Linked DNA regions of Ovis aries. The protein of the gene in region 1 purifies or fractionates together with the protein of each later gene. This does not show direct contact. Links are inferred from orthologs where the notes say so. Each region holds a gene or a part of one and is shown in the gene's direction. Other genes may lie near its edges. The genes, in order: L3MBTL3 and SAMD13.

What was found.
Region 2: the proteins of L3MBTL3 (region 1) and SAMD13 purify together in Homo sapiens (affinity purification with mass spectrometry; 3 studies listed by BioGRID and IntAct, counting the BioPlex papers as one, with this or other methods). This does not show direct contact. The link is inferred for Ovis aries from reciprocal best matches to the Homo sapiens genes L3MBTL3 and SAMD13.

What each region holds. Positions count from the first base shown.
Region 1 is NC_056061.1:55,649,174-55,653,479, forward strand, and holds the start of L3MBTL3 (lethal(3)malignant brain tumor-like protein 3), read left to right. Parts: upstream 1-1,481; 5' UTR 1,482-1,565; exon of another isoform or gene 1,566-1,646; intron 1,647-2,178; exon of another isoform or gene 2,179-2,631; intron 2,632-3,423; exon of another isoform or gene 3,424-3,564; intron 3,565-3,674; exon of another isoform or gene 3,675-4,306. UniProt on the Homo sapiens protein: Is a negative regulator of Notch target genes expression, required for RBPJ-mediated transcriptional repression. It recruits KDM1A to Notch-responsive elements and promotes KDM1A-mediated H3K4me demethylation.
Region 2 is NC_056054.1:61,363,184-61,366,383, forward strand, and holds the end of SAMD13 (sterile alpha motif domain-containing protein 13), read left to right. Parts: exon of another isoform or gene 1-1,464; intron 1,465-1,470; coding exon 1,471-1,614; 3' UTR 1,615-2,634; downstream 2,635-3,200.

The sequences.
Region 1 (4,306 bases):
TAGCCCTCTCTAACCCAGCCTTCCTCATTTCACACTCCTGAACCAATGGCTGCCAGACACAGGAAGCATATTTTAGAAACTCTTTTCAGCTTCACAGGATTTGCTCCCTTGTCTTGAGTACATGTCAAGCTGTCTGTCCTGGGTTTTGGTTTGGAGAATTCGGTCACTACTCCAGCAGAAGACACTGTGGAGTAGTCTGTCTCTTTAGGGTAATTTCATGGTCCTAAGGAAAGAATTTAGCAGTTTATTTTTCTGAAACTGGTTCAAGGAACATTCCCGAAGTGAAAACATTCAATCGAGAATATTACTACTTACATTTCGGATAAAGATTTTTAATACAGAATTTCCATCTGTGATATATTTAAATTCTAGGCCTCAGGCAGCAATTTTGGAAAAGGGCCTCCTTTACGGTTTATTAGATGCAAACTAGTCCACTCTGAGGGGTAGGGGGCCTTACTTTATCTCCCCACCCCAGCAAAATGTGAAATTTGCTTCCACTAGTCCTGAAATTACCACCGCTCCTTTTTTTTTCCTTGCATGATGAACTCCGTTATTGACCTAAAAGTGTTGATCACAACTTCAATTTCCTGAATTATTTTCTAAGTACTTGTACCTAGTAGAAAAAGAGAATGGTAAGCTGCCCCAAAAGAGGCCTACAGTCAATCAGTGGAAAGCTGTCAATACCGAAAAACAATACTCTTGCTTGATTTGGTTTTGATGCCCTAACAAAGACAGGTTTTGCTGTTTAGGACCGCTCAGCCATCTTGACTGAATACATTCAGAAGGTAGTCCTCGACCTGCTTACTGCCAGAGGACTTTAACACTGATTTCTAAGTTGACATATGTATCCCAACAGATTTCACAACAGAGGCCTAACGCATTTAAGCTGTCAATAAAGACCAACACTAAGAAACGCAAGGCATGCGGATACTTTACATGCACACTTCATAATGCATTCTTCCAGAGAGAGAGGTTGTGTGTGTGTGTGTGCGCGGTGGGGCGGGGGGGGGGGGGGGGGGGTGGCGGTCGTGGGGGGAGCTTAAAACTTTATTTCTCATTTCTCCTGACCTGTAGCATGTGTTTAGCCTTTAGGTTGTGTTTTTGTAAGACCAAGGCCCACTCTTTAATGGCTGAAAGCATACGTTTAACAGTACATGGTGGATCAGCTGCTCTGAGAAATGCCTTTTTTAAAAAAGTAAAGTGGAAAATAGACAAAGAAATCTATCACCTTAGCAGTCTTTCATATTTGTTTTGATTGTTCTGGAACCAGCTCTGAGCTGGTGACAAGGGTACTGAAAAGATGCACCTGAAACAGGATCTGCGGGCTGCTGCATTTGCCAACCGGCTTTAATGCTGCTTTCCAGCGGCGAAGGCGCAGCAGCATTAACAGGGAAGCCAGCGCGAGCCTCCCCGGCAGCGGCGGCGGCACGGCGGCACCGGCACCAGCGCAGTTTCCCCTCTCCCCAGCCCTGACTCTACGCGCACATGCGCACTGCGCCCGCAGCCCTGGACCATTTGTCAGGACTACTCGTGAGACGGAGAAAAAAAAAAGAGAAAATTTGGGGGTAAGAAGCGGTTGATCGGATCTAATCTCTAATTAATCTGAAGATTTGTCCGTGCCAAAGCCCATTCATTTATTTTCCTAGGTGAGGATGAAAGTTAAGAGACCTCTACAGAGAAGGAAGCGCACCCTCGTCTTGTGAAACAGATCAGGGGAGGGGAAAGGACAGAAGGGGTTTCTCCCCCACTTCTCTGCGCCTCTGGGAAAGAGAAGAAAACTTAATCCTGGGGAAAAAAGTGGGCAAGTGACTCGGAAACGGCTGGAGGGGGAGTCTCTGGGCATCTCACTCTGAAGTAGTGAGTGCGAGTGTGAAAGAGGAACAAAAGAGAGAGAAAAGAGAAAGGAAAAAATGGGGGGAGGAGAGACTTGTATTTTTTTCTTTGCGCGCACACGGGGAAGGGTGTGGGGGGCCGTGCGGAAGGGAGCCGGGGCGAGGCGGCCGCGTCGGGCTCTCGCCCGCGCGCAGGCGGCGGGATGCGTGTGGGCCCCCTCCCCCGCGCCCCCCGAGCTTGTCACTTTGGTCGCTTTCATGACACCGGGCGCGGGGTGGGGAGCGCGGCGGCGCCGGGCTCCGCCGGGGTGCGTGCCCGAGTGGGCGCCGCGGAGCCGCAGCCCGGGCGGCGAGCGCGGCGGCCGAGGCGGGGGGCGCCGGCGGCGGGGGTTGGGGGGGGGCGCGCGGGGGTGGCCGGGGCCGCGTATCGGTGCGGCGGGAGGCGCAAGCCCCGCGCGCCGCCCCTGCGGCCCCCTCCGCCCGTGTGGCCTTTGTGCCGGGCGCGCACCGGAGAGCGAGCGAGCGAGCGCGAGAAGTACAAGTACGGGAGACCGAGGCAGTGGGAAAAGAGGCCGGGCCACTTTCTCCCCGCTCGGGCTGCGGAGAATGGACTGGTTGAATGTGCAGGCGCGTCTCCCCGGCGTGTGCTGTGTGTGTGTGCGCGGCGGAAAGGCCTCCCCGACTCCCACCGCGCACACGCACACTCACACGCACGCACACACTCACGGACCCGCGGCGGGCTCGGCGGCCGAGAGTTTGCGTTTTCTTCCTCGCCGCCTCCCACTTCCCGACCGACTGTGTGAGAATTTCATATAGATCAGCTCCAATTTCCGCCATTTTGGGAAAGTTGCACAAAAATAAACCCTCCGGTTTATTTCTGCCCGAGGCAGGAAAGTGCTTCGGGAAGCGAGGCGGCGCGGGCCCGCGGCGGCCGTCCGCGCGGGGGAGGGCGCAGGGCGCGGGCCGGGCCGGGAGCCCGCGCCGTCGCGGCGTTCGCCCCGCGCCGTGCCGCGCCGCGCCGCGCCGGGCCGGGTGCGGGCGCGGGCGTGTGTCGGGAGGCGGCGGCCGCGGCCGCGCCGGGGCGGCGGGCGCGGGTGGGGGGGTTGAGGGGGGGAGGCGCGGGGCTGCTTTTCCTGCAACTTGTTTACGCCGTCCTTATATTGGGGAGGCAGAGAGGGGTCCGAGGCGGGGCCGCCGCCCGCCTGGCGCGGCGTGCGTGTGCCATTCCGGAATAATGGGTTTTGCACACTAGCGTCCTGGGCCCGGCCGGCCGTCCTCGCGCCGCGGCGGCCCGGCGGGGGGAAGTAGAGGCCGGCGGGGGTGGAGATCGGGGAAGCGCAGGAGCCGAGGCATCCGCCGCGCGCCCCGCGAGCTGGTGGCGGGGGCGGGGGGGGGGGGAGAGGGAGGAAAACTTGGGAGCACTGGAGGCGGGGGAGGGGGGCACGGTGGCACGGGCGGGGGGAGGGCGCAACTTTCGTGCTGGTGGTAAAACTTTAATTACCTTGAAAGAAAAAGGCCCTCCGGTCTCCCCCACCCTCTCTGGGCGAAGCCCGGCCCCAGCGCGACCGTGAGAGAAAGTTTAAAAGCGGGCACTTTGCTCCCCGCCTTCCCCGCGGAGGGGTAGGGGTATCTGTTTGTCCGTCTGCGCTCGGAGAGACGTGGGGGTAACGAGCCGCCCTCCGGGGTCGCGACGATCGCGGCTCTCACCCCACCCTTCCACGGGGAGACGAAGGTAAACGTCGCTTCAGTTTCCCTCCTACCTCCTCCCCCCCGCCCCCCCGCTTCCTTTTCCTCCCCCTCCCTGCCGATTTTTTGAGGGGACCCAAAAAACGGAGTCTCTTTCCTTATGCAACTTCCTCGGACGCTGCGAGCACGGCCCTTCCCCCCTCCCTGCATCCCTCGGCTGGCTCCTTGACCACCTCGGGTCTACCGCCAGAAAAAAAATGCGTTAGAGATCATTCACGGTGCACCGAAACAAAAATAGATTTTTGATTGTTCTAAGTTTAAGTTAAGGGAAACTGAGATGAGAAATAAGAAGGGGGGGAGCGGCTGGAGCGAGTGCGTCGAATTTTAATTTTCCTAGAATGTTGTTTGTGATAGCTTTATTGCTGTGGGGAGCCCGAGAGTCTCCGTACTGGCTAACTCGGTCGCGTGGATTTTTGCGCAAGTTTTTAGAAAAACACTGACTCGAGTAGAGCATTTCTCCGGAAAGTTTCAAGTGCAGCAAAATAGCGAACGTGCAAAACTGGCCAAGGGGAGACCTCTAGTGGTTAGACGCGTCTTTAAGTTCGGAAGGCCGAGAGCAAACTTTGGCCTTTACTTTTTAGCTACGTAGTCCGTTCAGACGTGGAAGTGATTAGACGACCTGAGCCAGGGGCCAGATGTTGAATGAAAGGATGCTGATCAGAAATAGAAAGTTTGGTAAATCGGAGAGCAAATGAAATCTAAGGACCCAGCCTTCCAGTTGGGGTACT
Region 2 (3,200 bases), on another chromosome or scaffold:
TAAATAATTGTAAAATGAGGGCCTTGATCTGTCGAGGAATGCTGACAAGTGATTATGTAATTCATAGCTCAGGGAGCACTTGCAAGAATGGCATCTCATGAAATCCTCTCAAAACTCAATATTCCATATTATCAGCTGAGGAGATAGCAGAGGAAAGGACTGCCTAAGGTCGCAAAGTGGGTGTTTCTTCAACGTTGTTTCTCCCAAACTCACACATTCAGAGCACATCTTCCTCACAGCCTGGCGATGTACATCAGAGGCTTTGGAGGAATGGCCCCCTTGGGGACAGTGTGGGAGGGAGTCACAGCTTTACGTAGCTGCAGGTGCACAGCGAGTCTCCGTGTCTGCCCATTGGCGGTGGAGGGGTGGGCGGGTAAAGTCACGTGCCGCTGTGTGCAGTTTACTGAGCATGCGCAGCTGGTCCATCTCACGAACCCAGGTCTCCTTAGAACTAGCTTAGCGTTGCCTCACAATAACAAAGATAAGGTTGTATTCAGCACTCTTCTCAGTGCCCTTTTCCAAAAGTTTCAAACTACTTTCTATATGTGGGGTCCTCATCTCTTTCACAAGAAGCTTGTTTTTATGTCATTTCAAAATTTTGTAGTCTCCACGGTAGAAGTCCGCGGGCTTGAGAGAAGGGGGCCCGTGGACACTAAGGGGAATCCGGAAGGGAATTTCCGGTGGGCACAGCCCTGCCCCTCGCTGCCTTATCTGGATTCTTGAGGCTCCACTAAGACGGAGTAGGTAGCATGAGAGTTGATATTCAAGTTGAAGCAGGATGGTTCTCCTTTTAAAGGGCAGGAAAGGTTCTCAGAGAGTGAGTCATTTTTCCAATGCCCGCTGTTCTGATCGAAAAGGTTTCAGAAAACCTGACTCTGGTCCCCATTGGTCCATCGAGACAACACATATTTGCTTCTAAGTGTCAAGAGAAACAGAAGTGAGTTATGAGAAGAGCATGGGCTTTGGCTTTAGGCAGATGAGAATTCAAATTCTGTGCCATTCTTTTGTAACTTCTGGGCAAGCTAACTTTTTGCCTTTATCCTCGGTTTGCCTATAAAATTAAGTTGATAATTCCTACCTGTCCTAATTTATGGAGTGATTTTGGGAATTAAATAGACAAAAATTCTTCTTAAACTTCAATAACATTTTTTAAATGCAAAGTGTCGGTCTTCCTTTCAGAAGCTTCGTCTTTGATCCTTCAGGATACATACTCCAGGCTTGCTGTCAGTTTTTTAAGATGTGACATTTGTGATGTGATCTTGAAAACAAAATCAGCTGTAGATTATATTTAACTCCAAAATAAATGGTGAAGATGGAAGATAAAAATAGAAGATTACATTTGGGGCACTAGTTTAAAAAAAAATAGTAATGTTTTTAGTGTGGAGACAAAAACTTCTTCCTTCTGTTTTTCTGCATTATGCTTGAACTTTTGGACTTACATGTTGGATTTACCTTCTGCTTCCATTATAGGAAATTGACGGAAAATCCCTGCTACTGATGACAAGAAATGATGTGTTGACAGGACTTCAGTTAAAACTGGGGCCTGCTCTGAAAATCTACGAGTATCATGTAAAACCTCTTCAGACAAAGCATTTAAAGCACAACTCTTCCTAGTAGTCAAATTGGGGTCTTGGACCTCAAAAAATACATAATGAAAGAATTTGGTTTCATGTGATGAAACTTTGTAAACAGAATACATACATGTGTATATGTAAAGAATTTCAATCAAATGAAACGTTATCCTATGGGATAGACTAGGCAATCCATCGGCTAACCTGAACTCAGCCAGGAGGAGTGAGGACATGCAAACAGGATGGTTTACCTTGTTGACCTAGTCAAATAGAGTGGTCTTTGATGAGATTAGATACCCTTCCCCACAAGGAGGGTTTTCTTCATAGATTACTTTCCCAAATTCCTTGAAAATAGAACTGAATGGAATGAACATCTTCCAGTTACAGAGGTAACTGACTGTAACAGGGAAGATCAAAAGCAAGAAAATTTGGGGAGGGGGATAAAAGAGAAAGGGATTGCACCTCCCTTGAAGTCCTCTGCTCCTTAGAGCTTGTGTTATTTGGATGGAATTGCCAACACCCTTTTTTATAGAGGGTCCTCCACTTGACCTTATTAAGGTTTCACTGGGATATGCTGCCATGTTGGAAATGGACGTACATCATGGCCCCTTTAGAAGCAGAACTGTAGCTCTGGAAAGAGAAACTCTGTTGTGTTTTGGGGATATCCATCTATCTTCAGTTAGCTTTCATGGGGGTTAATGGTATTTTCTGCATAGATCTGCTTTTAAATCGATTCTTGGTTTCTGAAGAAGACTTTTTTCCCACATTATGGTTTGTATTTATAATAATTTGTTTCTGAAGAAATTTGCCAAGAGTTATAGATCAAAAAGCCTTGTTACCAGTACAGAATATTTTTCTATATATATATTCCTTCATGATGGTGTACTATTTTTTTAATTCCTCCAATGCTTTGTTTGATTTCTGGTTTGAGTACTTGTTTTTAAGAACTTGAAAAAGTGGGCTTGCTTCATCTCTGTTCAAAGAGACATTTGTTCAGTCTCTGTGTGTTGATGCCATATTGAACTGGTGCTTTGTGGTTACAATAAAGCATTGCTTAAGTTTATTCTCAGTGTGTTCATTTTTTATCTTTTCAGTTTGGTGCCTCTTTGGTTGGGCTTCGAGGTCACTCCTTGAAACCATGGAGAGAAAGTTAAGCCTGCTTTAAGAAATTAATTATATATATAGAAGACGTGTAGATCTATATGTAGATTTATCTTCTTTATAAACTGAATTGTCTAAGTCAGCCTTATTCCTTACCTGTATCCTACAACTAATTTTATTATCATTTAGGGTATCATTTTAGCCACTGTTTGTCTGTTTTTTTTCTTTTTTAGCTATAAGCCTGTGGGGGAAGGGGTGTCACGAATATTTTGAAATTCCGATGAAAACTTTGGACCTTCCCTCCAAATGAAAACTCATATTCCCACATACAAAACATTGCAGAGTTGATGGACTCTGCAAAATTCTCTCTTTCCCCTCCTCAAGTTAAAGAGTCCTTATTTCAGAGACTGTTATAATTCAATCTCCTATGGAGATGTTTTCTCTAAAGAAGAGAAAGTCTAAATGAGTGGGATTCAAAACTGTATTCCAAATTAATTCAATTATGGAGTTTATGGCGTGTTGTTTTTG